Linked DNA regions of Macaca mulatta. The protein of the gene in region 1 purifies or fractionates together with the protein of each later gene. This does not show direct contact. Links are inferred from orthologs where the notes say so. Each region holds a gene or a part of one and is shown on either strand. Other genes may lie near its edges.

Evidence for each region.
Region 2: the proteins of MED9 (region 1) and MED19 purify together in Homo sapiens (affinity purification with mass spectrometry; 6 studies listed by BioGRID and IntAct, counting the BioPlex papers as one, with this or other methods). This does not show direct contact. The link is inferred for Macaca mulatta from reciprocal best matches to the Homo sapiens genes MED9 and MED19.
Region 3: the proteins of MED9 (region 1) and POLR2C purify together in Homo sapiens (affinity purification with mass spectrometry; 3 studies listed by BioGRID and IntAct, with this or other methods). This does not show direct contact. The link is inferred for Macaca mulatta from reciprocal best matches to the Homo sapiens genes MED9 and POLR2C.
Region 4: the proteins of MED9 (region 1) and MED7 purify together in Homo sapiens (affinity purification with mass spectrometry; 5 studies listed by BioGRID and IntAct, counting the BioPlex papers as one, with this or other methods). This does not show direct contact. The link is inferred for Macaca mulatta from reciprocal best matches to the Homo sapiens genes MED9 and MED7.

Annotation. Positions count from the first base shown.
Region 1 is NC_133421.1:19,030,073-19,037,571, reverse strand, and holds the start of MED9 (mediator of RNA polymerase II transcription subunit 9), read right to left. Parts: upstream 4,432-7,499; 5' UTR 4,400-4,431; coding exon 4,176-4,399; intron 1-4,175.
Region 2 is NC_133419.1:15,681,237-15,687,699, reverse strand, and holds the start of MED19 (mediator of RNA polymerase II transcription subunit 19), read right to left. Parts: upstream 4,436-6,463; 5' UTR 4,403-4,435; coding exon 4,186-4,402; intron 1-4,185. Other genes in the region: TMX2 (thioredoxin-related transmembrane protein 2), read left to right, coding at 4,839-5,027. UniProt on the Homo sapiens protein: Component of the Mediator complex, a coactivator involved in the regulated transcription of nearly all RNA polymerase II-dependent genes.
Region 3 is NC_133425.1:53,057,968-53,064,391, reverse strand, and holds the start of POLR2C (DNA-directed RNA polymerase II subunit RPB3), read right to left. Parts: upstream 4,436-6,424; 5' UTR 4,383-4,435; coding exon 4,297-4,382; intron 4,088-4,296; coding exon 4,038-4,087; intron 1,184-4,037; coding exon 1,115-1,183; intron 969-1,114; coding exon 916-968; intron 1-915. UniProt on the Homo sapiens protein: Core component of RNA polymerase II (Pol II), a DNA-dependent RNA polymerase which synthesizes mRNA precursors and many functional non-coding RNAs using the four ribonucleoside triphosphates as substrates.
Region 4 is NC_133411.1:166,006,129-166,012,651, reverse strand, and holds the start of MED7 (mediator of RNA polymerase II transcription subunit 7), read left to right. Parts: upstream 1-2,088; 5' UTR 2,089-2,147; intron 2,148-5,512; 5' UTR 5,513-5,529; coding exon 5,530-6,228; 3' UTR 6,229-6,523. UniProt on the Homo sapiens protein: Component of the Mediator complex, a coactivator involved in the regulated transcription of nearly all RNA polymerase II-dependent genes.

The DNA of each region.
Region 1 (7,499 bases):
AAAACTAGCCAGGCGAGGTGGCGGGCGCCTGTAGTCCCAGCTACTCGGGAGGCTGAGGCAGGAGAATGGCGTAGACCCGGGAGGCGGAGCTTGCAGTGAGCTGAGATCCGGCCACTGCACTCCAGCCTGGGCGACAGAGCGAGACTCCGTCTCCAAAAAAAAAAAAAAATAAAATAACAAAAGGATCACTGGGGAAGTTATAGGAAAGGAAGGGACCCAGGGCCAGAGAGCACCACCTGGGTGGACTGGACACGATCCTAGCCCTCATCTCCGCCCGCCACGACTGTGTCTTGACTGGCTTCCAGCCTGACAGTTGCACTAGCTCCCCATCCCTCAGAAGACCCCTGCACTGTTTCCTGGCTCTTCCCTCCTCCCCAGTCCCCTCTTCCTGCCTTGGATGTATGCTCAGCACCACCAAGCTAGAAGCTGACTCCCATGAGTAGATGCTATTTCTTGGCTTCGTGTCCTTACATGTTTTTCCTATACCACCCTTCCTCCTGCCTCCCTTTCCTAATTGAAGACTCATGTTGGCATCAATCTCACCAAGCCTTCTGTCTCCCCCAGGCTTCACGTGGTCTCCTCTCCCTTCCTCCTCTGCCCTTATTCCTCCCTCATTAGCCTATAAACTCAAAAGACACGCCTATACTGAAGGTTTTCAGGTTGGATCCTAGCCTCTTCTCATATTTACAGCTGCAGAACCACTCCATTCCTTTGCAGCTATTGTTCCCTCCAAGTGGCTTTTTCTGCTCTTCTGTCTTGTCTTTCTCTTTTTTCCTCTCTTTCTCTCTTTCTTTCTTCTTTGAGACAGAGTCTATGTCACCCAGGCTGAAATGTAGCAGTGTGATCATGGCTCACTGTAGCCTCAGCTCCCTGGGTTCAAGCTATCCTCCCATCTCAGCGTCCCCAAGTGCTGGGCTTGCAGACAGACATGAGGCACCGCACCTGACCCGTGTCTTTCTTACCAGGGGGTTTCTTCCTATGCTTAGTGGCCTTGGTCATCCACTCATATGTTTAAGAATAAAACATTAAAAGGCTTAGTGGAAGCTCTGCAAATGAGTGATGCTTGTTCATTTTCTCAGAATTAATTGACTAGGCTTTTTTTTTTTTTTTTCCAATGTCTTTTCTCTTAATTGGTCACACACGATAGAGAGGGCACTTCCACTCTCTTTGGCTGCCAATCTAGAAGCCAGGTGGGGGAAGGCTCGAGTGGGGTCTCTCTTCAGACTGCGAACTTTCTCTTAATCCCTCTTTTCAGTTATGATTCCCCCTACCTACCCCTGCAGTGTGCCTGTTGTCCCCCAGTCCAGGTACTCTCTGGCTTATTTGTTCCTAAGAATAAATCTTGGGAGAGTAACCTTTTAACCACCCACCAATTTAGAAGAAGGGTAGTCACCTGGCCGCTTGGAGGGGCTGGGAGGTGGGACAGGACTGCTTCTTAAACAGACTTCAAGTAATCATCCTGTTCTTAGACCCACCTTCACCCCTATTTCCAGGGGGTCCTTGCACTAGAGTTCCTGAGATCTGGGGGTAGGCCATGTTTAACAAGCCAGCTGCTTAGGAGTTGGTAGATGAATTAGCACTGGTCATTCACTTTGTAGCGATCATCTCCTGTCCTATTCTTTTCGGTTTTATGCTTTTTATTTTTGAGATAGGGTCTCGTTCTGTCACCCTTGCTAAAGTACAGTGGCATGATCTGGGTTCAAGTGATCCTCCCACTTCAGCCTTCCAAGTAGCCAGGACTGCAGGCACACACCACGCCTGGCTAATTTTTTTTTTTTTGTATTTTTTGTAGGGATGGGGTTTTGCCATGTTGCCCAGGCTGGTCTTGAACTCCCAGGCTCAAGCGACCAGCTCACCTCAGCCTCCTAAAGTGTTGGGATTACAGGCATGAGCCACTGCATCTGAAGGTTTTATGTATTTTTTTTTTAAGTCCCTTCTGTGTCCCTTTAGACGAAACAGAGACAAGCACATGTGATCAGCCCACTAGGTTTCACAGGTACGCTCTTGAGTACATCTCCCAACAATCCTATGACATAAGCATTCCCATTTCATAAGAGAAAAACAGGCTCAGAGAAGCTAAGCTACTTGCCCAGGTCACCCAGTCAGCACATTATAGAGCTATTACATAATCTAAACCTCTCTTTTGAGGTCCACTATGGACATATTAGAGATAAGAAGATTATGGCCTAGAAAGGTTAGACATTTATATCAATATTAGAAGGCATGAAAATGTCAGTATACAGATTTGAACTCAGGACTGTCTAACTTCAAAGCCTCTTCTCTGTAGTATAACTTACTACTACATCTTTAAGGCCAGCCCAATCCAGCTGCTTTACCAGGGCTCAAGAATATACTCTTGGGGGGTTCAAGAGCTGTCTTTGTGAATGTGTACATTTTGTGTTTTCCTTTTTCCACATTTTTCTTAAAACCAGTAAACTGGGGTTAATCTGACTAAACCCTTTATAATCCGGCACTGCCCTGGGATTATAGGGGCTCCATACGTATTTCTGTCTGTGATCATTATCACAGGCTCACAAAAACTGAACAGGCTGTCTTATCCCAGAAACATTTTTTTAAATTTATTTATTTATTTATTTATTTTTGAGACAGAGTCTTGCTCTTGTTGCCCAGGCTGGAGTGCAACGGCATGATCTCGGCTCAATACAACCTCCACCTCCCAGGTTCAAGTGATTCTCCTGCCTCAGCCTCCCGATTAGCTGGGATTACGGGCACCCACCACCACACCTGGCTAATTTTTGTTTTTAGTAAGAGACAGGGTTTCACCATGTTGGCCAGGCTGGTCTCAAACTCCTGACCTCGTGATCCGCCTGCCTTGGCCTCCCAAAGTGCTTGGATTACAGGCATGAGACACCACGCCCGGCCCTTATAAACAGTAAACACCAAGTGAAGCCAAATGAAGCCAGGGTCTAATGTGAGAACAAAGCCTTTGTAGTTATTTGAAAAGTGGCAGAAGAGCATCAGGTCATCCCACAGCAAGTGAATCTAGTTTGCTTAAACTCAAAAGTGGGTGGGCCACTAACGGTCAAGACCTTCACGTTGTAACAATTCCGTTTCAGTAAAACAGTGAAGAGCACATTCATGTTCACCTGAATGTTACTGGATTCGTAATTTTCTTTTAATTTACTTTGTGGTCTTTAATGGCTGAATAAGAGTTATAAGCCTAAGGGTTTACACCTACTATCACGTGGATATAGAGTGAAGTAACATAATGAAAATAATTTACAGCCTAGGCAACACGACTAAATTCCATCTCTACAAAAAGTACAAAAATTCGCTGGGTGCTGTGGCTCATGCCTGTGGTTCCGGTTACTTGGGAGGCTGAGGTGGGAGGATGGCTTGAGGCCTGGAGGTTGAGGCTGCAGTGAGACGAGATCACGCCACTGTACTCCAGTCCGGGTGACAGAGCGAGACCCTGTCTCAAAAAAAAAAATAATAATTTAGGCAAACACTGGGATCAGTAAGACTTTCGTGCTTTTGTTTTTGGTTTTTCCTTTACAGAGTCACTTTGAAAACTCAGGCTACCCTAAAGGCTGGCCAAAAGGATGACAATTATCTCCTTTGGTACTGTTGGAACAAAGTCAGTACAGGTGGGTCTAATCATCTCAGGCAACTTCTGTGTTTTTGCTTAGTCTAATATTTCCCATCGCCACCGCTCCCCTCTCAATCTTTTTGAATTATGGGTTATTCCCAATCATGTCTTTTTTTTTCCTTCTATGCCCCTTTTACTGTGTCCATCCCATAGCACTTGGCAGTGTCCCACACAGGGAAGATGATGCTTATCTGTTGAGTCTGTTGAAATAAGGAACTAAAGTGAGTATTACTAACATTAAAGGTGAGAAAACTGAGACTTAAAGAGATTTAATTTGCTCAAGATCGATGGGATGCACGTTTGAGCCGCTGGACAAGAGTCTGTATGTAGTCTCTAAGCTGGCTTCATTCTTAAGGATATCGCACCTCTCGGGGCTCAAATCGTTTGCTTAACTCATGGAATGTCTCTGTGGTCTTGGGAAAGGCCTCTTCCCGCTCTGGGTCTGAGTTTCCCCATCTGCGAAACGGGGGCGTGCCCTAGAGCGCCAAGGCCTCTTGAAGCTCTGAAACGGCTGAGACGAGAAGCTGGAGGGAGTATGGGGCCTGGTCCTCTCCTAGGTTCTTACCATTTGATGATGCTGTGAACCAAAGGTAAAAAGGAGTAGTTCTCTTCCTCCCTCGCGCGGGCAGGTGACTGAGGCCGTGGCGCCGGCGACTGCTGCGGCTGAGGCGCAGGGACAGGCGGCGGCTGAGGGGGCGGCAGCGGCTTGGTGTCAGGCAGCGGCTGGTCGGACGTTGGCGGCAATGCATCCTCCGCCTGTCGCCCGGCTGCCACCCCAGCAGAGGCCATGGCTCCGGGGTTAGGTTAACCCAGAGGTCGGGTCGCCGACAGCGTCGCGAACTCTATACGTCACCACCGCGCGCCCTGCAGGGGCGCAGTGTGGAGGAAGGCTCTGAGCATGCGCACTGGGCACTCGGCTGGCAACGGGGCGGAGGCGGGGTGGGGAGACTGTTGCTAGGCGACGGGCCGTGGGTGGGTCTGGGGTGCCTGGTTTTGGGTTGAGTCAAGACCCAAAATTATTTAAATATTATTAAATAGTGAGAAATAGGGGATTTATTTCAGAAATAACAATTTTTTTTTTTGAGACGGAGTTTCGCTCTTGTTGCCCAGGCTGGAGTGCAGTGGCGTGATCTCGGCTCAAAGCAACCTCCGCCTCCCGGGTTCAAATGATTCTCCTCCCTCAGCCTCCCAAGTAGCTGGGATTACAGGCATACACCACCACGCCCGGCTAATTTTGTATTATTAGTAGAGACGGGGTTTCTTCATGTTGATGGTTTCGAACGCCCCACCTCAGGTGATCCGCCCTCCTCGGCCTCCCAAAGTGCTGAGATTACAGGCGCAAGCCACCGCACCTGGCCAGAAATAACAATCTTCTTATTCCTATTCACACGATGAAGAGGGCCCCAAAGCCACAAACACAGGAAGCCTTGAGGTCAGTAAGGCGCAGCCTGGCCCAGTGCACCCAAGTCTGGAGAGGAACCACTGGACCTGCAGGAGGCGTAGACAGCACTTACCTGCTGGCTGAGGCACCAAACCCGGCCCGGCCCACAGTGCGAGACATCGAGACCTCCTGCTTAGCCCTAAGGACGCAGAGGCAAAGGGATTGCGGTCCCTTCAGTGCTGCATGGCTGCTGAGAGTCTGATAATTCAACTCAACACACTTTTAGTATGCACCTGCTGGATGGCCAGGTGTAATGTGTGGTTGCAGGGAGGCTGTCCTTGCTTTCAATACAAGGTAGAGGGGATTCGTGCCAGGAATAAATATCATATCCTGGAAGAACGACAAAGTCAGGTACTCTCCATACCTTCGGGCCAGTTCCTCAAACCCCTAGGTCCCAGTTTCCTCACCCCTAAAATCATATTTAGTTCAGAGTCATGGCAGAGCCTAAACTGCATTCTAACTTCACATTCGTGGCTGACCCCAAAAGGTCTTGTTGGCATGAGGACTCCCTAGGATCGTAGGCCAAAGATGGGTTTATGGTTATGCTTCTCAAAACAAGTTTGCTATGAGGGCTAAGTAGCAATTTTCTGCGCAATGGGGACAGCCACCCTAAGCTTAGCTAGTTAGAAGACATGAGTGGGGAAAGCTGTCAACTGGCGAGCCCATTCTGCTGTAATCCACCATCATGGGCAGTGCAGAGAGGCGAGGAGGTCCACATCCACATAGTACTATGAACAGGAGCCTTAAGAGCAAGGTGGCCAGGGAAAGGATCACTGCTGATATTTTCAGGCACATTGGGAGGGCTGTGTGGAGGCAGATCCTTGCCGAGTAGGACCATAGACAGAAGTGCTGTTGGAGGGTCCGCTGTACAGGTAAAGGGCCTCAGCACAGCTCTCTGCAGCAAGAGCTGCCCACGATGCCCCAGAGAGAGAGCAAAGGGAGGGAGTGGGTTGCAGGGTTTTCTTCCTTCTAACCATGAACCTCTCCAACTAAGGGAAAGTCCAGGAGTTCTGGTAGAGCATGGAGGAGAAAAAGGCCTGTTAGAATAGGGCCAGATGTGCTTGAAGAGACTGTATACCCTTAGAGTCATCTGGGGAAAGATAATATAGTAATAGTAATAATAATAATAATAGTAATTACCACAACTACCATGGAATAAAAGTAGATACAGGGAACAGAGTTACAGTCACTGTCTCAATCCACAAAAAGAGGTCTAGAACATGGATGTCAGGATCCCCATTTTCTAGACAAGAAAACTAAGACTTACAATGGTTAAGATCCCAGCCTAAGGGTCCACGCTGCTTGCTGACTCCAAGCCTATGATCTTAACCAACGCTAAAGAGACTTCGGGTCCCTACCAGTTCTGTAACTTTATGATTCAAAATGTTAAAGTGGGTTTGAATTCAGAATTCAAAAACCAATCCAATATTCATCAATAATATCCCCCATGGCAATCACACGTCATCGTTGGCCTCCCAGCATGTTTTATAACTTAATTATGAGCCACAACTATATCGTTGTCAGGAAAATGAGGATGACTCTTAAAAGAAAAACACTTGAGGTATAAATAGATATGGCTAAAGAAAATAAATTGAAAACCTAGGAAGCATGAACCAGTATGGTGCATTGACAGTTTGCCCTAAAAATAGTTAATATAATTAGTGGCAAAGAGTAAAGCTGACTTCATAATGTTGCAAGCGGATATCAGAAAAATACTGCCTGTGCTGGTTTCATTAAAGCTGAAATTGCTGCAACAAATGTGTGTCTGTTTATAACCTGCTCTGTTAAAAGTCAGGAAAGACAGACACTCCATTGATATGTAAGGAGAATGTATTGTAGTGAAGGAAACTTCGCCCCACCACAAGGTAAGCTCTAAGGTCATTGCTTTCTTAGGTGGATTTATGCCGTGTCTCACGGGGCCTTGTCCAGTTAGTGGTTACAAGGTCAGGCTTTGGAGCCAGCAGCCTGACTTCAGCCTCAACTCAGCCTCCTTGGAGCTTCATGACTGGACAATTGCTTAACCTCACTTCATGCAGCCATGCCATCTCACAAGACTGAATGGGTCATTACTTGTAAAGCACTTAGAGTAAGTATCTGTGCACAGTAAATAGTAATTCTTCTTACTATTCAGTTTTAGGGCTTCTTACTTCGCCAACTAACAAAACCCAGACAGACTGCAGCTAAGAGGAATGATCCACATCGCTGCGCTTTGATAAAAATGTAAGCCAAACACACAAGCCACAGAGGCTGTGTTCAGTTTTCTAGCAGCCATATTGAAAAATAAGACAACAGGTCAGGTGTGGTGGCTTATGTCTGTAATCTCAGCACTTTGGGATGCCAAGGCTGGTGAATCACTTGAGGTTAGCCTGGGCAACATAGTAAAACCCCATCTCTACTAAAAATACAAAAATTAGTTAGGCATGGTGGCACACACCTGCAGTCCCAGTT
Region 2 (6,463 bases), on another chromosome or scaffold:
CTCCCAAGTAGCTGGAACTACATGTATACACTGCCATGCTGGGCTAATTTTTTTTGTTGTTGTTGTTGAGACAGAGTCTCGCTTTGTCGCCCAGACTGGAGTGCAGTGGCCGGATCTCAGCTCACTGCAAGCTCTGCCTCCTGGGTTCACGCCATTCTCCTGCCTCAGCCTCCCGAGTAGCTGGGACTACAGACGCCCGCCACCTTGCCCGGCTAGGTTTTTGTATTTTTTTTAGTAGAGACGGGGTTTCACCGTGTTAGCCAGGATGGTCTCGATCTCCTGACCTTGTGATCCACCCGTCTCGGCCTCCCAAAGTGCTGGGATTACAGGCGTGAGCCACCGCGCCCGGCCTAATTTTTATACTTTTTGTAGAGACAGGGGTCTCCCTATGTTGCCCAGACTGGTCTTGAACTCCTAGACTCAAACAATCTGCCTGCCTCAGCCTCCCAAAGTGCTAGGATCACAGGCATGAACCACCCTGCCCAACAAGATTAAAAAAAAAAAAATTTTTTTTCGTTTTGAAATTCCAAACTTGCCAACATCACTCATGGCTTCTCTATTTCAATCCACGGCACCCACATGTTCCAGATATTTTTGGAAAGCAGTACTCCTCGGTTCACAAATCTTAATGGTTTCTTTTTGCCCTCAGGAGAACACTCAAATTCCTTTTGACTGGCACTCAAGGCTAATTACATCTTACTCCAACTTAGCTTTGGGGCCTCATCAACCACTACTCCTCTATGCAAAATTTCTGATCCGTCCAAATGAATCTCCCTATCGCCTCAAAAACACACCCCTCACATTATTTCATTTTAGGAAAATTCTTCCTAATTTTTCTTCACCAACATGAATTATTCAAGGTCTAGCTCAAGTGACATTTTATTCTTACTGTCATTTTGGATAGCAACACACTTTGAAAACCATTAGATAGTTCTTAATATTGATGGCTAAGATATTGTTAATTGCTGTTGTGAGGCATGAGCACAAAATGAGATGGAGTTGACAGGAAATATAGTCACTATCCTTAAACCACAAATTTTACATTCCTAACTAATCTCCTTGAAAAGCAATGACCAGCATTACTAATCTCTCTCTCCATCTCACCCTCCTCATACACCCAGCATTTGCCCAGAACAGATATTCAATCTGTCAACTGACTGATACCAATAGCTACAATCAGAATAGGGAAGGCAAAAGAAAGATTAAAGGAAACTGCTGGTGGACATCAACCACTAACTAATCAAAGGGATGTCAACTTCTCCATGTTTCAGTTTTTTCAATTATAAAATGTAGATAATAATGCTACCTCAAAGGGCTATTCTAAGTATTAAATACTACTTCATATGTGTTGTGAACTTTGAAGTACCATACCAATATCTGTCGCTACTTCCCTCAAGTCATGATGCGGAACTAAGACTTGAGACAATGAAAGGCATCTGGGAGGCCAGGCGTGGTGGCTCACACCTGTAATCCTGGCACTTTGGGAGGCCAAGGTGGGTGGATCACCTGAGGTTGGGAGTTTGAGATCAGCCTGACCAACAGGGAGAAACCTCGTCTCTACTAAAAATAAAAAACTAGCTGGGTGTGGGGGCGCATGCCTGTAATCCCAGCTACTCGGGAGGCTGAGGCAGGAGAATCGCCTGAACCTGGGAGGCGGAGGTTTCAGTGAGCCGAGATTGCGCCATTGCACTCCAGCCTGCGCAACAAGAGCAAAACTCTGTCTCAGGAGAAAAAAAAAAAAAAAAAAAAAAGAGAGAGAAAGGCAGCATCTTGGAGACCAAACATGTCCAAAACAACTCGATTTCCACCTCTTCAAACTTGTTCCTTCCTCATCTTCCAAGTCTCGTACCCATACACCCAATTATTCAAGCTGAAAACTTAAAAAGGCATCAATTCCTCTATCTCCTTCACTTCTATATACAATATGTATTTTTAACTGAGACAGCTTCTTCCTCTATCATCTAAGCTGGAGCACAGTGGCACAATCACAGCTCACTGCAGCCTCAACTTCCTGGGCTCAAGTGATTCTACCACCTCAGCTTCCTAAGTAGCTGAGACTACAGGTGTACGCTGCTATCCCTAGCTAATTTACTTTTATTTTTTGTAGAGATGGGGTCTCATTATATTGCCCAGGCTGGTCTCAAACTTTTGGGCTCAAGCAGTCCTCCCACCTCAGCCTCCCAAAGTGCTGGGATTACTGGCGTTAGCCACAGCACCTGGCTCTATATTCAGCTTTTCAACCCTGTCAGCTCTACATCTAACACCCTGTATCCATTTACTTCTCTAAATAAGTACATTTGACCAAGTTCCTATGTTAAAATGGCTTTCCTTGGCTGGGCACAGTGGCTCAGGCCTATAATCCTAGCACTTTGGGTGGCCAAGGTGGGAGGACTGTCATTGGCCAGGAGTTCAAGACCAGCTTGGGCAACACAGTAAGACCCAGTCTTTACAAAAAATTTTTAAGTTAGCCAACTGTGGTGGCACATGCCTGCAGTCCTAGCTACTTGGGAGGCTGAGGTGGGAGGACAGCATGCGCCTAGGAATTGGAGGTTACAGTGAGCTATGACTGTACCACTGCAGTCCAGCCTGGGTGACACAGTGAGACCTTGTCTCTATAAAAAATTGTTTTAAATGGCTTCCTTTTGTATTTACAATCTAAATGCCTTTATTGCTTTATAAAAGCCTCTGCCTAACTCTCCCAGCTTCATCTCTCTCCTAACACTCTTTCCTTTTGTTCACTTCACTGGAGTCCAACTGATTTTCTGTCCCTCAGATATTCTAAGCTTTTTCTCACATCAGGGTTTCTGACCTCATTTCCTGTATCTAGAATTATCTCTCCCTCCTGTCCATAGCTGGCTGGCCCTTTGTCTATGCTTACATTTTAGTTCAAATTTTAGCTATGTGGAGAGAGCATCTCTGGCCACTCTAGCTAAAGTAGTTCTGCCCCTCAATTTTTTTTTTAAGAGACAGGGTCTCATCTGTTGCCTAGGCTGGAGTGCAGTGGCACAATCTTGGTTCACTGCAGCCTGGACCTCCTGTGTTCAAGCAATTCTCCTCCCTTAGTCTCCTGAGTAGCTGGGGCTACAGGCAAGCACTACCACGGCCGGCTAATCTTGTATGTTTTGTAGAGACTGGGTCTCGCCATGTTGCCCAGGCTGGTCTCAAACTCCTGGGCTCAAAGGATCCTCCTGCCTCAGCCTACCCAAGCGCTGGGATTACAGGCGTGAGCAATGCGCCTGGCCACCTTCAATTTTTTATAATGTTTTCTCTTCCTAGCATTAACCACTCTCTGACATTATCTTGTTTACAATGCCTCCTACACTGAAATGTACATTCCAAAAAAGGCAAGCATCTTGTCAGTCTTGTTCACAACTGTATCTCCAGCATTTAGAAAAGTGCTTGGTACATAGGTACTCAACAAAATAATTTTTTGAATGAAAAGAGTTTGGTTCGATTCTTACCCCTTCTTTGATGACACCAGGAAACGCAGAAATCTTGGAAGAGTGGCAACTTGCCCCAAACCCACAGCAAGTCTGTGGGAGACTTGTAACTAAAACTTTAGGTCCCCAAAGATATTAAATCAGGCCTCTCGAGTTCCAAACTCAAACTCTTGATTTTTTGTTTGTTTGTTTTTGTTTTGAGACGGAGTCTCATTCTATCGCCCAGGCTGGAGTGCAGTGGAGCAATCTCGGCTCAATGCAACCTCCGCCTCCCGGGTTCCGAGTAGCTGGAATTAAAGGTATACGCCACCACGCCCAAGTAATTTTTGTGTTTTTAGTACAGACAGAGTTGCATCATGTTGGCCAGGCTGGTCTCGAACTCCTGACCTGAGGTGATTCGCCCGCCTCCGTCTCCCAGAGTGTTGGGATTACAGGCGTGAGCCACTGCGCCCAGCCCTAGATCATTTTTTAGGGAGACATAAACCAGTGTCAGGAACACAGCCTGGACATGGTGCAAAAGACAGTCACGGAGATGCACCACCCCGCTCCCCGCCATTCATCCCTTTGGTTGAATTCAACTCATCCCTCTGCTTGTGAATCCTAATAGCCCTTTCGACTTAGGGCTCCACAGTCCGGGTATGCGTTGCCTAGGTTACCTCGCACCTCCGTTAGCCGGCTGAGAGCCACGCCCAACACCTCCTCTCTAAGATTTGATTGGCTGGCTTTGGCAAGGCCGAGTACTCACCTGGCAGTTCCCTCATGAGGTAAAAAGGGCCACAGCCAGCTCCTGACTTGTCCGCGCCGGGAGGGGCCGTGGCCGCGGTGGGAGGCGGAGCCGTGCCGGGTCCCCCGCCCGGAGGAGGCGGTGGCGGGGGTGGAGGCTTTCCTGGTCCGAAGCCTAGTGCGGTTGGGGGCGGTGGTGGGTCAGCCTGAGCCCCGAACAGCGCCGTGAAATTCTCCATCGTCCCCTCCGCCCCGGCGCTGTCTCGGTGTCTGGCGTTGGTAATTTTCATTGGACAATGCCTTTAAGGAATACCCACCTCTTTCTCAAGGAACCGCTTGTCATTGGATGCCTCAGGCACCGCCTACCTTGTTTCAACAACTACTTCCGTCGCTCTCTGAGAACGTTCAGGAAGTGCTATTTAACCTTATTAGAGTCTTCTGCTAGCTACGTTAGCTACAGTCCAATAAAATGACTTAAGCTGATAAAGCGACAGCTAGACCAACCAATAAGATATTAAGTTCTTTTTTGGGTTCTGACATACCACAGCGTTGACAGAACTACATCCGGGTTTAGAGGCCGTACGTTTGAGATGTAGCCCAATAGCAGTCGCTATGGTGGGGGAGGCGGGGCCGGACCTACGACGCCGGTGAGCAGTGGCCCTTGCGGCCGAAAAGATGGCGGTCTTGGCTCCTCTAATTGCTCTGGTGTATTCGGTGCCGCGACTTTCACGATGGCTTGCCCAACCTTACTACCTTCTGTCGGCCCTGCTCTCTGCTGCCTTCCTACTCGTGAGGAAACTGCCGCCACTCTGCCACGGTTTGCCCACCCAACGCGAAGACGGTAACCCGTGTGACTTTGACTGGGTGAGCGTCCCGCGTCTCAGTACCGCGACCTTGACTGTCCCTGCCCTTGCAGGTGCATCTGGGAACCCTGGGGTTTACCTTTCTGAGGACACCTGAGGTTCCGAGCCTGTAGCGGATTTAACAGACTGTAAAGTGCAGAGTCCGAAACATCGTCGAGACTAAACTTTGTGTTTAATATGGGAAAACGGAACCTGTTAGTCGTAGCCCTGTACAACGGCCCAACAGCTTCTGACTGTTGAGTCCAGGTTTCTTTCCATTTCACCATTTAGACTAAGAAACAGCCCTGTCAAAACTGTACATATACGTGTATAGCATCTTACAGTGCCGCTCATTATGTAAAGCCTCCTGAGGAGCCAGTAAGGTAGGGAAGGCAAGTAGTAGTAGTCCTGTTTCATTGGTGAAGGAATGGATCTTGGTATATTTAGGCGACTTGCCCCAGGTCATGCAACTAATGAGTGCCTGGGACTTGAAACTATTCTTGTGGCCACACTACCTGCACACACTGTCAGCCGTTTCTTAATTCAATCAGCATTTCTAGAGTGTACACTCTAGGCACTCTGCTTGATCCTGAGGATGCGAAAGTGGATAAAATTTTGGGGCTACTGTAAAGGAATTGTAAAAAATAAGTTGTAAAGAAATCTTTGGGCTTTCTTTGAGAAGTGTCCCAAGCTCCTTGCTGTGCTTCCTTGGAATGGGTGGAGGGACTGCTCAGAACATGAACTTAAAGCACTTTACCCTCTGCTATATAGCATGTAAGGGCCAAGGCAAAGCTTCCCCTTAGCTCTCTGAGGGTTTGTTGAAAAATCAGCCGACAAAGGGCACGTTAATAGGAGAAAGGCACAGAAATTTTATTTTAACGTGCATAGCATGAGGGAATTGAAGGAGAATGACCCAGTGGGGTACAGAGGCTTATATACCCTTCTTCATAGGAGTATGGGAGATGGGGAAATGTGGGTGATTTTAAGGTGGATTGTAAATGACTTTTAGGGTGATTCAGTGGCCTGGAGAACATACAGTGGCGTGGGACAATGACTGTTGGGCCTGCAAAGCAGACAGTGGTTTCTGACAAAAATCTGTCCGGGTGTGTTGACAGGCTTCAGTCTTTCTTCCTGTACTATGAGTTAAGTTAATGAAAACTCAGGGAAGAGACCAGAAGTAATTGTTTTCTTCTTTGACAGGTCTGGACTTTAGGCAGATAAGGTAGTTATCAGAGTAAAGCTGCTTCCAGTATCTGCTGGTATCCAGGGACCTTTAATTTAAAATAATTAGCATACAGGATGCCATATTTTGGGCTGTGAGTCCCTGGTCTCCTTTATTTCCTTTGTCTGAAACTTCCTTAGAAGTTTCCCTATAAAAGCTGAGTTGGTGTCTGTGGAGAGAGAAATTGGGCTAGTAATTGAGCGGCAAAGGATCCCATTAAACCAGTCTCTCATTTT
Region 3 (6,424 bases), on another chromosome or scaffold:
CCTCCTGGGTTCACGCCATTCTCCTGCCTCAGCTTCCCAAGTAACTGGGACTACAGGCACGTGCCACCACACTCGGCTAATTTTTTGTATTTTTAGTAGAGATGGGGTTTCACTGTGTTAGCCAGGATGGTCTCGATCTCCTGACCTTGTGATCCACCCGCCTTGGCCTCCCACAGTGCTGGGATTACAGGCGTGAGCCACCGCATGCAGCCGAATATTTCTTTTAAAAAAATACATATTTATAAGATATATCATAGCCATCACAAAAATGACATGGCCCTTGAGAATATTAGAAAATGGACTGATTCTGGATCACCCAAAGCCATCAAGAGGGAGTAGTCTTACGCTGCTATGTAATGCAGCCTAGTGAAAGGATGAAGGTAACCTACTACTATCCCACTCTCTCCAAACTATGAAGGCCTGTTAACATGCCATCAGGGAGCAAACACGACCAGGAGGAAGGGGGTAAGAGTGTGGCCATGTTTAAGCAGCATCACTTACGAGTGAGGGGACAGCACGAATCTGCAGACACCAGGACTAGTTCCCCAGAAGCTGCTCTTATGAGACAGCTCCCATTCCCTCTGCTCCTTGCCTACCCCAACCTTCTGTTGACTCCTGTAGCATCCTAAGGCCCCTGCTACTGGGAAGAGACGCTTTGGAAGGAAGAACCTCCACTGTAAACAGGCAATCTGGTGGAGCTGGCTAACAACATTTCCTGATGTTCTGCATGCTAATCAATCTGAAGCCCCATCAGAACCAAGGATCAAGGCCTGCCCAGGCTCTAGACAACATCTCCACATTGTTGTTCCAGACCTACAATACTACTCAAGCTGGATGCCAAATGTCAGGAAAAATCCCTTTGAGACCCAAGGCCTCCCCACCAAACCTCACATTCCACCCAATCACACAGCATACCCGGGAGTACTGCAGCTTGTCCACAATGTCATCACTAATGAGGGGAATTAATCCTGTAAAAAACAGAAAAGCACTTTAAAGAAAACCAAACAGCCAAGCCAAAATGAGAACCCAGAAGCCTCCGGGGGGTGAGGCTGGAAGGAAGCCCCCTCCTGACACTAGGCACAGTACCCTCCCTTCTAATAAAAGGAGTACTCACCAAGCCTGTGAGCGATGAACTCATCATGAAGGACTGAGGAATTGGCATCAATCTGAACCCAGTCAATGGCTACAAAATGAAAGAAGCAGACATGGAGTTTAGCCATCAAATTTACCTAGAGACTTAATGCAGTGGTTCTCAAGATTTAGGAATCACCTGACACTAAACTGCAGAGGCTGGGCTGATTCCACAGCACTAGAGTGGGGCCCAGGAACTTGCATTTTAATAAGACCCACACACACCACACACCTCACCTCCCTGCCCAGGTGATTTAACGCAGGGGGCTCCCTGCTTCACAGAAAACACTGACTCAGAGAATATCATGGGAGTGGAAACATGTTTATTTGAGCTGAGTATTTCCATGAGAAGCACTTAAATCTGCTACCTGTGCCACCACCAAATCCAAGAACATGAACTATTTGAGCACTTCAAAGTCAGGGAAAACCTCACAGAAGTAACACAGACTTATGGGCCATACCTATATTTTAGGATATAATGACTGGACTGCCCAACTTAGCACTTTTTAAACATTCAACCAACAGACTTTTACTGAATTCCTTTAACGCACAAAGCATACTAAATATAGAACCCAATCCCTAGCAGCAATGAGCAGGTAGGAAGGTAAAGACGGTATTATCTATCACACACGCTTGACTTAAACACATATTTATTCATTCATAAACATTTGCATGGAACCAACTAAATCCAGGAATCAAATGGCATTGGAGCCCAACTGCCAAATGAGGGACACAGACACTAGGAACAGAGGTCGGAAGAGGACCTCCACATGCTAGGCCTCCACCTACTCTGTCCTGCTATGCTTCCCATTGCTTCCCCAGTCCAAGCCAACTAAGAGAACCCTGACCCAAGCTTTTCTGCCTCTTTAATCCCCCGGCCCCTTCCTCCAGCACACCCTTCCCCTCCTCACTGTACAGGTTAAGATCCTCTGTGCCTCCTAAAAACTAAGCCTTGCCTGCCCTCTATGCTACAGGTGTGGCACTCCCTCTCTTTCACCTCCTCTCTCATGAAACTCTCTTCAGACTTCCCTGAAGACACTTGTCATAGTGTGCCTTGTGTCACATTTGTGTATGTTATGTCTATACCCCAAGCTTCAGAAATTCCTTCAGGCAGGTGCTGGGATGTCTTTGTATTCCTAGCTTGGGTGCTCAACATTATTTGTAGAACTGAATTTGTGGGGAAAGAGGCATTTAGACTCAGAATGGCAGGGCTGCATCATGAAGTACAACTCCCTCACCTGACTCTTGACGAAACTGAGGTCCAGAGACATGAAGTGATTAGTCAGGGGGAGGTCCAGCACTCCAAGCTGAATTGAAGAAGTGACTGGGGGGCCGGGGTTGGTAGTGGATAAACTACAATGTTCTCTTGCCTAATCATTTGGCTTGCTTATTTCCTTAAAAGTCTAAATATTTGATGCCACATATTTCTTTTGCCTAACCCAAACTCTCTGGACCTGACTCTCGGAAATGCTTGAAGTATTTCATACAAGTATAATCAATGCATTAAGCACCTGGAGCAAAGTGGCTGGAACCAGACCAGAAATTGATGTTCCCTCCTCTAAGAGCCAACTGCACCATAGCTATGCTTCTCCTGAACTACTGATCAGTCTACCTTGCTTTAGTGTTGTCTGTGGATTCATCTCTCCCCCTGCAACCTCACTGTGGACTCCATGAGGGCAAAAACCATGTTCTCTACAGCTTTGTATTCCCAGAGCTTACCACCATGCCTGCCACTTACATGCTCCATAAATGCTGTTGAAGGAATAGATTAATAAAAAAGCCATCTACCAGCACTGAGCACTCACTAAACATAAAGCACTTATATGGATTACCTCACTTAATCCTTAACATTACCCTGATAAAGATCATTAGTGGCTGAATGTTACAGATGAGGAAACTGAAGTACGCAGAAGTTTAATAACTTGCCCAAGTTTCTCAAAAATAGTAACTGATGCAGCCATTAAAAAGAACGAAATAATGTCCTCTGCAGCAACATGGACGCGGCTGGAAGCCACTATCCTCTTTTTTATTCTCTTTTGTTTGAGAAGGAGTCTCAACTCTGTTGCGCACGCTAGAGCGTAAGAGGCATGATCTCAGCTCAATGCAACCTCCACCTTCCGGGTTCAATCAGTTCTGCCTCAGCCTCCCCAGTAGCTGGGATTACAGGTGTGCACCACCACACCCGGCTAATTTTTGTATTTTTAGTAGAGACGAGGTTTTCCCATGTTGGCCAGGCTGGTCTCGAACTCCTGGCCTCAGGTGTTCCTCAGCCTCGGCCTCCCAAAGTGCTGGGATTACAGGCGTGAGCCCGGCCTGGAAGCCATTATCCTAAGAGAATTAACACAGGAACAGAAAACCAAACACCGCATGGGAGTTAAAACTGGGCACGCATAGACATAAAGATGACAATATAGACACACTGGTGACTACTAGAGCAGGGAGGGAGGCAGTGGGGCTAGGAGTAAAAAACTACCTATTGGGTACTACGCTCACTACCTGGGTGAAAGGATCATTCATATCCCAAACCTCAGCATCACGCACTATACCCAGGCAACAACCCTGCACCAATGTACCCCCCTGAATCCAAAATAAAAGTTGAAAACATTTAAAAAACTTTTGTGACAATAGTAGTGAAAACAGTATTTGAACCCAAGTCTGCACACGGTTAAACCCATGCTTCTCAGCAATGCATACGCAGGACAACAGTGGACCTAAGTGGTCCGTGGGTGCCAGGGAGGCGGCCACTGGGCCAAGGGCACAGGGTATGGTCAAGTCTCCAGCAATGCACTTTTCTCAGCACTACCACCCTCAGCCCGAACCAAGGACTGGAAGGAGCCCCAGGGAGTGTGGGTGGAGAGCGGGGCAGGAACCCGTGGGCCCGGGAACGAGGAAGGGGGGTCGCTTACCTATTATGGGCACCTCAGCGATGAAGACCCTCCGAATCGAATTGGCCACCCTGAAAGACGAAAAGCCAAGAGGCGTGAAGGCGCTGCAGCCTCGACAGGCTGGGCCCGCGCCGCAGGCTCCCAAAGCTAAAGCCCTGGCGCAGGGGGGCAGCTCTGGAAGGACATCACCCCCACTCCACCCCCGCTCCCTGCCCCCGGGGCCCCGGCTTGGGCCTCCCGGCGCCCCAGAGCCGCCAGCCTCTTCCCTCGGCAGCCTTACGCCAGGTCGGTGTTCTCGATGATGAACTTCACATTCTCGTCAGTGAGCTCAGTGATCCGCACGGTGGGCTGGTTGGCGTACGGCATCGCTCCCCGTGGCCGCCAGCCTCCGCGTCAGCTCCGCGGTGACTGCGCCTGCGCCACCGCCGACACCGGAAGTCAGTCAGCGTGGCCTCCGCGAAGACGGCTCACAGCGCCGCCTGCTGCTCGGAGGCCGGAACCGCCGAGCGTCTTCTACCGCCTCCTGCTTTAAAATGTACCGGATTCAGCTATCTCGGAGGGTAGTTTGGCAAAACACGCGTACGTCCTCGACTTAACAGTAACATTTCTAAGAACTCATACTGCAGAAACACTTGCAGTTGTAAACAAAGATACGAGTGCAGGGACATTCATGGTAGTACTGTTTGTACTGTCCACTGATAAGAGACCTGGTGAAGTATACACACGTAGAATATCATGAAGCCCTTAAAAAGAACTTGTACATCTACAGAAAAACAAAAGTATATTTTAATATGAATGCATATTTTAGGAAAGTATACCTGAATTATAAGTAAATACCCTTTCCCTTGCAGTCTCAAGTATGGACCATGCACTTCTGAAAACTTCAGGAAAAGATATAATATTCTTTAACCTAATGCTTCCTCTGCAGTCTGTGTAGCTGCGGTGGGTGAGTGGGAGCTCTTTGTCTCTGCATCTCCAGTGCCTCGCAGTGGGCACCATGTGGGGTGCATGCTCAACCAACAACTACTGAAGTCCCCTAAACAGACTGGAGAGAGTCTCAAACTCTCAATGGGCCTCAAACAAAGTGGCGGCTGCTCCAACAGACAAAAGCTCTAAAATAGAACTTGACAGGAGCTACATTTAAGAGGTGGGAGAAGAGTAACCAGATAAAGAGTTTGCCTTTGCAAAGACTGACACCTCTTCCTGAGACAGAGGGTGGGCACTGATGGAACCCTGCTCCATAGCCTGTGTCATCTCTGTAAATTAAGAATTATGGTTGTCTGCTGAGTGTGAGATGGATGCTATGAAGGAAAAAGGAGAATGCAATGAAAACTGGAACAGCTACTGCAAAAACTTCACAGGATGTCAAAAGATACAAGGAATGAAGAGAGGTACAAAAAAGATCCAGTGGAAGACCCACAAGAGATCTGAAATTCAATTAGTTGCTGACTTCCCCCAATAATATTTAGCTGACTTAGGCAGAAGAGAGCAAAGCAGAAAACAGAGCTAACCAGACATGCAAAGGGAACCCAGCCAGTGTACAGGCTGAGAAAATTACTGGGGCTAAAGAATGTACCACTGAAATCGTCAGACAAGGGCAGCCAAGAGAGCTAATGGTCTGTGGGAAGGCTTCTGTTACCCCTATTTTACTGATGGGAAGACTTGAGCCCAGAAACGCAGAGGTACCATAACTACTACTGTGTACTAGGCAGTGGCAGCGCCAGAACACAGGTCTCCTGGCTGCCAGCCTCAAGCCTCTTCCATAACACCTCTGTCTCCCTCTGGGGTCTTGGATACCTATCATGGTTGATAAGCAAACTAACTACACAATAGGAAACTACTTCAAACATATTTATTATTTTTAGACTCAAAATACACTAATAATCCTGCGATGCATGCTGGTGTCATATGACACCAGGCCTGGGATCACACCTCTGTCCAGCAGGCACTTGTCTCGGGTGAGTTTTCTGAGGGGTTTCCCAGGAGTAGCATCTCAGGACACCTGAGAGGGAGGGGGGTGCAAGGAACACCTCTGTGTGCACACGCCTGTGCTGTGCTGGGGATGAGCTGTCACCTTGAGGTGGCATGAGGCATGCGTCACCTTGACTCTGGCTTGGGAGCCCCAAGGTTAATGGAAGGTTAAGACATGATCAAGGTGCCCATGAGATCGTGACAGGGACATGCTGGGTTTCTGTGGCTTGACTGCTTGGATGAACATCTCATTTTTCAATCACACAATTGCAGTGCAGAAAGGCATCAGGAGGCTTGGTCTGGTATTAGGAACTGAAGAAGCGGCCCAATCCCTGACCAGAACGGTAGCATCAAATGCCTTGTGGTTTCCAGGTGGCTGTGGTAGTGTCTCAGGAGTCCTTTAGTGTGTTCTCATGAACACCAGGTTACACGGATGG
Region 4 (6,523 bases), on another chromosome or scaffold:
CCCAGAAGAACTCTTTGAGGTCACATTTGACCAGAAACCTGAATGAAATGAGGAAATGAAGCCGGGTGCGGTGTCTCACATCTATAATCCCAGCACTTTGGGAGGCCGAGGCGGGCGGATCACCAGGTCAGGAGATTGAGACCATCCCGGCTAACACGGTGAAACCCCATCTGTACTAAAAATACAAAAAAAAAAAAAAAAAAAAAAAAAAAGGGAGAGAAATAAGGAAATGAGACGTGTGAATATCTATTCCAGGCAAAGGCATCTGCCCCCAAGACCGGGATGTACTTGGCAATTTTGTAGGGCCTATTATATAGGCCGGGGGAGGATGTCAGATTTTATTCTAAAAGTAGTAGAAAGATTTTGAATAGAAGAGCGTTAAGATTGGTTTTATATTTTAAGAAGGTGTGGTAAATAGACTAAGGCAGGACAAAAATCAAAGAAATCCAGATGAGAGATAATGGCAGCATGGCATAGGACCATACCAGTAGGGACGGTGGTCAGTCATATTTGGAACTTTATTTACTTATTTTTAAATAGAGCTAATGCAAAAGGCTGGTATGGTAGTTTCGGTGGGGTATGGGAGAAAGGAGAAAAAGGTGATTCCTTAGATTGAACATTTGCAATTGAGTAAAGTGCAACGGGGTAAAGATGTCTGTCACCACTGGATATGAGGGTCTGAAGTGCAGAGGAAACGGTGTTCCAGGGCCTGCATGTATCTGGGTGATATCTGACTGAGAAGTGGTTGGAGAACTGAGTCCTGGGGCAATCCAAATAATCAAATGTGCCAAATGCTGCTGACAGAGGGAGTAAAACGAGGACTGGGAACAAGCATTGGAAGTCACGGGTGCAGGACATATTGGGGTCAGCAGTGAGGATGAATTTCTTCAGGAAATAAATTTATATGTGCGGGGGAATTAAAATGGGGGAGGCCGGGCTACGTGGTTCACGCCCGTAATTCCAGCACTTTGGGTGGCCAAGGCGGGCGGATCACTGTAGGTCAGGAGCTCGAGACCAGCCTCACCAACATGGTGAAACCCTGTCTCTACTAAAAATACAAAAAAAGGAAAAAAAAAAAAAAAATTAGCCGGGTGTGGTGGCACATGCCTGTAATCCCAGCTACTTGGGAGGCTGAGGCACGCGAATCGCTTGAACCCCGGAGACAGAGGTTGCAGCGAGCCGAAATCGCGCCACTGCACTCCAGCCTGGGCGAAAGACACTCCGTCTCAAAGAAAATAAATAAATAAATAAAACAAAATAAACCAACAAAAAACCCTGCATATCTATATTTTCGAATTTTTATGTAAGATGTCTTCATTGTATGGGTTCAATTAAAAAAGAAAAGACAAAAGGAATGGAACTACCAGCTGCGACTGTCAGCAGAAGAGTTGTAATGCGGGCAGCGGGTGGAACACACGAACAACCTTTGCTAGGTTTTCTTTGGGAGGTTATTTTCACGTCATAAATGTCTAAATTCATGGAAGTCTTACAAGAGCATGTTACATATTAAAATATAAGATTTTTTTTTTTTTTTTTGAGACGGAGTCTCGCTCTATTGCCCAGGCTGGAGTGCAGTGGCCGGATCTCAGCTCACTGCAAGCTCCGCCTCCCGGGTTCACGCCATTCTCCGGCCTCAGCCTCCCAAGTAGCTGGGACTACAGGCGCTCGCCACCTCGCCCGGCTAGTTTTTTGTATTTTTTTTTTAGTAGAGACGGGGTTTCACCGTGTTAGCCAGGATGGTCTCGATCTCCTGACCTCGTGATCCGCCCATCTCGGCCTCCCAAAGTGCTGGGATTACAGGCTTGAGCCACCGCGCCCGGCAAAATATAAGATTTTTTCTAGTCAATAAGGGGTCTATAAAAAATAAAGCAATAAGATGTCTTGTTTAATTTTATGCCTTAAAGAAACGAAGAAACAACCCTCACCTACTACTTTTAAAAGTCAGTGAAAGGGGTGGCGATGGCAGGAGTCGAATATACGCAGGCGCAATAGCGAGCGATCGGTCTGAGGCGGATCTAGAATCTCGTTAAAGGACAGCTCCTACAGCCAATCAAAGACAGAGTCGGTGGCTTCTTCCAGGAGGAGACCGGAAATTGGTTTCGGCTGCAGAGGGGGAAGGCGGCTACCAGTGTAAAGCCAGAGTTGAGGTGAGTGGGCGGCAACGGCTTGGGGCTCCCGCGTGTGTGCGTTTTTTTCTTCCGGACCCCGCGGTTTCCTCTGTGCTGGGCTGGGAACTGGGGAGGCATGGAGGAGTTCGGCCTCCGAAGACGCTCTCTCGTCTTTCTGTCCCGAGTCTCTCCGAGAGCGCGGCCTCCCCGCCGCTCGTGGAGGTCTCGGGATGGACAGCCTGGAGGAGGGGGCTCTTAGCGCTGCAGTCCCAGGGCTTCCTCCGTGTGGGGACGCCGAGCCGGAGTGGAGGTTGGGAGACGTGGTGTCTAGTCCCCTCGCCGCTGTTTTTCTAGGCTGTGTCGCCTTGGGCGAGTTATTTGCCCTTTCTGGCCCTTTGTAACATGAGAGTAGCCCTCCCTGCCCTTCCTTCTTCTGGGAGCAGTTGTGAAACAGCTGAGATACGGGGGCAGGCGAGGGCAGTAGATCCCAACCAAGCCTAATCGTCAGGTCCATCTGGAGAGGTTTTTAAAGCGACATACCAGGGCCCATTCACAGTGGACAGAATGAATCAAATCTCTGGGGCTGGGACCCTGGAATATCTGTCGTCTTCTGGTGAGGCGCCTTCTCCCCCAGAACAAACACTAGATGTTGGATCTTGAGTCTAAGAACCAGTTATGATGCTTGGCTCTGGTTTTATTAAAATAAGACTTCCATCGCCTTTGAAAAGTTCCATCTAGAGAGACAGTAGAGAAAAATATAATTTTTGTAATATGCAAGTTCTAATTGTACAATTAGATGCTTCACGGCTTAGAGATATAAGAGAGCTTGCCCTTTGGAGCTAAAGGGACCTGGGATAAGAATTCCTGTTGTACCATTTATTAACTTTTTGATCTGGGGCAACACTTCCCCTCATTGAGACTTGGGATCTTCACCTCTAAAATGAAATTGATAATAGAACTTAATTCATGGGACTCTGTGGTGGCTCACGCCTATAATCCCAGCACTTTGGGAGGCCGAGGTGGGCGGATCACTTGAGGTCGGGAGTTCCAGACCAGCCTGGCCAACATGGTGAAAACCTGTCTTTACCGAGAAATAAAAAATTAGCTGGGCGTGGTGGCACACACTTGTAGTCCCTAGCTACTCAGGAGGGTCATGCAGGTGAATCCCTTGAACCCGGGAGGCAGAGGTTGCGGTGAGCCCTGATCATACCACTGCCCTCCAGCGTGGGAGACAGATTGAGACCTTGTCTCAAAAAACAAAACAAACAACCTTAATTCATAGAATTGTTATGAAGATTATGTTAGAGAGGCCATAAAACAACAGTATCTGTCACGTAGTTGCCTTAGGAAAATGACAACCTAAGTACAGGAATGCACATCGTGTAGGAAAGTACAGAGCAGCACTCCTCACCTAAAAAGGTTTGAGTGGAATGAAACGTAAGGTGTCAAAAACTGTGTTTTGAAGTACCAGATCAATGTTAATTCCTTGATTTTGGTAATTGTGCTGTGGGTAGAAGAAAACATTCTTGTCCTGGGAAAACACATTGAAGTATTCAGGGGTGAAGGAATGAGAAACCAATAAAGCAAATGAAGGAAAATGTTAACATTTGGAGAATCTGAGTGAAGAATATGAAGTGTTCTTTGTATATTCATGCACTTTTTCTGTAATCTGAATTTATGTTATAAGTTTTAAAATGTTGGCTGGGAGTGGTGGCTCACACCTGTAGTCCCAGCACTTTGGGAGGCCAAGGCAGGAGGATTGCTTGACCTCAGGAGTTCAAAACCAGCCGGAGTAACATGGCAAAACTCTGTCTCTACAAAATATACAAAAATTAGCTGGGCGTGGTGACATTTGCCTCGTACTCCCAGCTGCTTGGGAGGTTGAGGTGGGAGGATGGCTTGAGCCTGGGAGGTCGAGGCTGCATCATCCTATGCACTACTGTGGCATGGTGGAAACTCAGGGCTGCACCACGCCTGCCCTTAGTACCTCACGAATTCTAAGTATAATATTGCTTCTAATAGAATACTTGCCCCACCTGATGTTAGAGGGTGTTATATCTTGAAACTTTGATAATACCAGTGTAAAGGAGCACTTCAGAATCTTCTCATTGGATGGTATATCTAGGCTTAAGGTAGAGTAAGTAGAGGTTATTATGGCCATAGAAGATACTGGGTTTGAACCTGGGGTTTGAAATTTCTGTGATAGTTGTAGGGAAGTTAATGTGTCCATACAGGCCGGGCGCGGTGGCTCACACCTGTAATCCCAGCACTTTGGGAGGCCAGGGTGGGCGGATCACCTGAGGTGGGGAATTAAGAGACCAATTTGGCCAACATGGCGAAATCCTGTCTCTACTAAAAATACAAAAATTAGCCGGGCATGGTGGTGTGCGCCTGTAATCCCAGCTACTTGGGAGGCTGAGGCAGGAGAATTGCTTGAGCCCAGGAGGCGGAGGTTGCAGTGAGCTGAGATCGCACCACTGCACTCCAGCCTGGGCATCAGAGCAAGACTCCGTCTCAAAAAAAAAAAAAAAAAAAAAAAAGTTAATGTGTCCATATAAAATTGCATAGTTTACTGTGACAAAAAGGATATGGAACTGAATCATTTCATTCAGGAACTTTGGATAATACCATGTCTTTAGGATTTAGCAGTGTTAATTTTGTCAGTGTTTATGAGAGATACAAGTAAGTGTTTGCTATTGGAAATCAATCTGTAACATAAAGCAAAAGTGATTCTGATATGAGATTGGGAGACAACGTGTAGTTTGGTTATGGAGGAGTAGAGAAATGGGGGCATAAATGGTGAAGGGTGTGGAATCCAGAAGATTTTCTTGTTTTTTTTTTGAGACAGATTTTCGCTCTGTCGCCCAGGCTGGAATGCAGTGGTACAGTCTCGGCTCACTGCAAGCTCCGCCTCCTGGGTTCACACCATTCTCCTGTCTCAGCCTCCTGAGTAACTGGGACTACAGGCACCCGCCACCATGCCCGGCTAATTTTTTTTGTCTTTTAGTAGAGACAGAGTTTCACCCTGTTAGCTAGGATGGTCTCGATCTCCTGACCCTGTGATCCGCCTGCCTCGGCCTCCCAAAGTGCTGGGATTACAGGTGTGAGCCATCGCACCCGGTGGAAGATTTTCTTTAGAGATCAGAAGATGCTACAGATTTTTTCATGCTGATGAAATTATTAGGGAGAGAATGGAAAATATGTGAATGGTTGAGAATATAATGCCTACTTAGAAAATATGGCAAACTTTACCTATCATAAATGTTAGTTTTAGAAACCAAGGAGATCATCTTGTCTTGGACCCCAAACTACTGGAAGAAAAGGAAGAAAATATTCTGTCTGTAGTTATGAAATGTAACAGGTTTGTTTTGTGGCTCTAATAAATCTTTGGTCTGTGTCCATAGGTTCTTGATAGTCCACAATGGGTGAACCACAGCAAGTAAGTGCACTTCCACCACCTCCAATGCAATATATCAAGGAATATACAGATGAAAATATTCAAGAAGGCTTAGCTCCCAAGCCTCCCCCTCCAATAAAAGATAGTTACATGATGTTTGGCAATCAGTTCCAATGCGATGATCTTATCATCCGCCCTTTGGAAAGTCAGGGCATCGAACGGCTTCATCCTATGCAGTTTGATCACAAAAAAGAACTGAGAAAACTTAATATGTCTATCCTTATTAATTTCTTGGACCTTTTAGATATTTTAATAAGGAGCCCTGGGAGTATAAAACGAGAAGAGAAACTAGAAGATCTTAAGCTGCTTTTTGTACACGTGCATCATCTTATAAATGAATACCGACCCCACCAAGCAAGAGAGACCTTGAGAGTCATGATGGAGGTCCAGAAACGTCAACGGCTTGAAACAGCTGAGAGGTTTCAAAAGCACCTAGAACGAGTAATTGAAATGATTCAGAATTGCTTGGCTTCTTTGCCTGATGATTTGCCTCATTCAGAAGCAGGAATGAGAGTAAAAACTGAACCAATGGATGCTGATGATAGCAACAATTGTACTGGACAGAATGAACAAAGAGAAAATTCAGGTCATAGGAGAGATCAGATTATAGAGAAAGATGCTGCCTTGTGTGTCCTAATTGATGAAATGAATGAAAGACCATGAAAGATGTTTATGTTTCTTTTTTCCTTTTGATAAATAGCCTCATATATTAGTTTATTTTCTTTTGGACAGTCTTAAGAGAGGTTTCAGTAAAAATGTAAACAGCTTTAATCTTGACTCCAACTTTTTCAATTATGAGATGTCATAGGCAGTAATTTCACTGTATAACAAGCATAGACAAATGAGTACCCCTGCACTAAGAATAATCACTTTAAAAAGCAAAGTGTTCACCGCTGTTGTATGGGACATTTCTATGTTTTGGAGTTGCAGTAAAACTTTGATGATAACCTCAGTAATA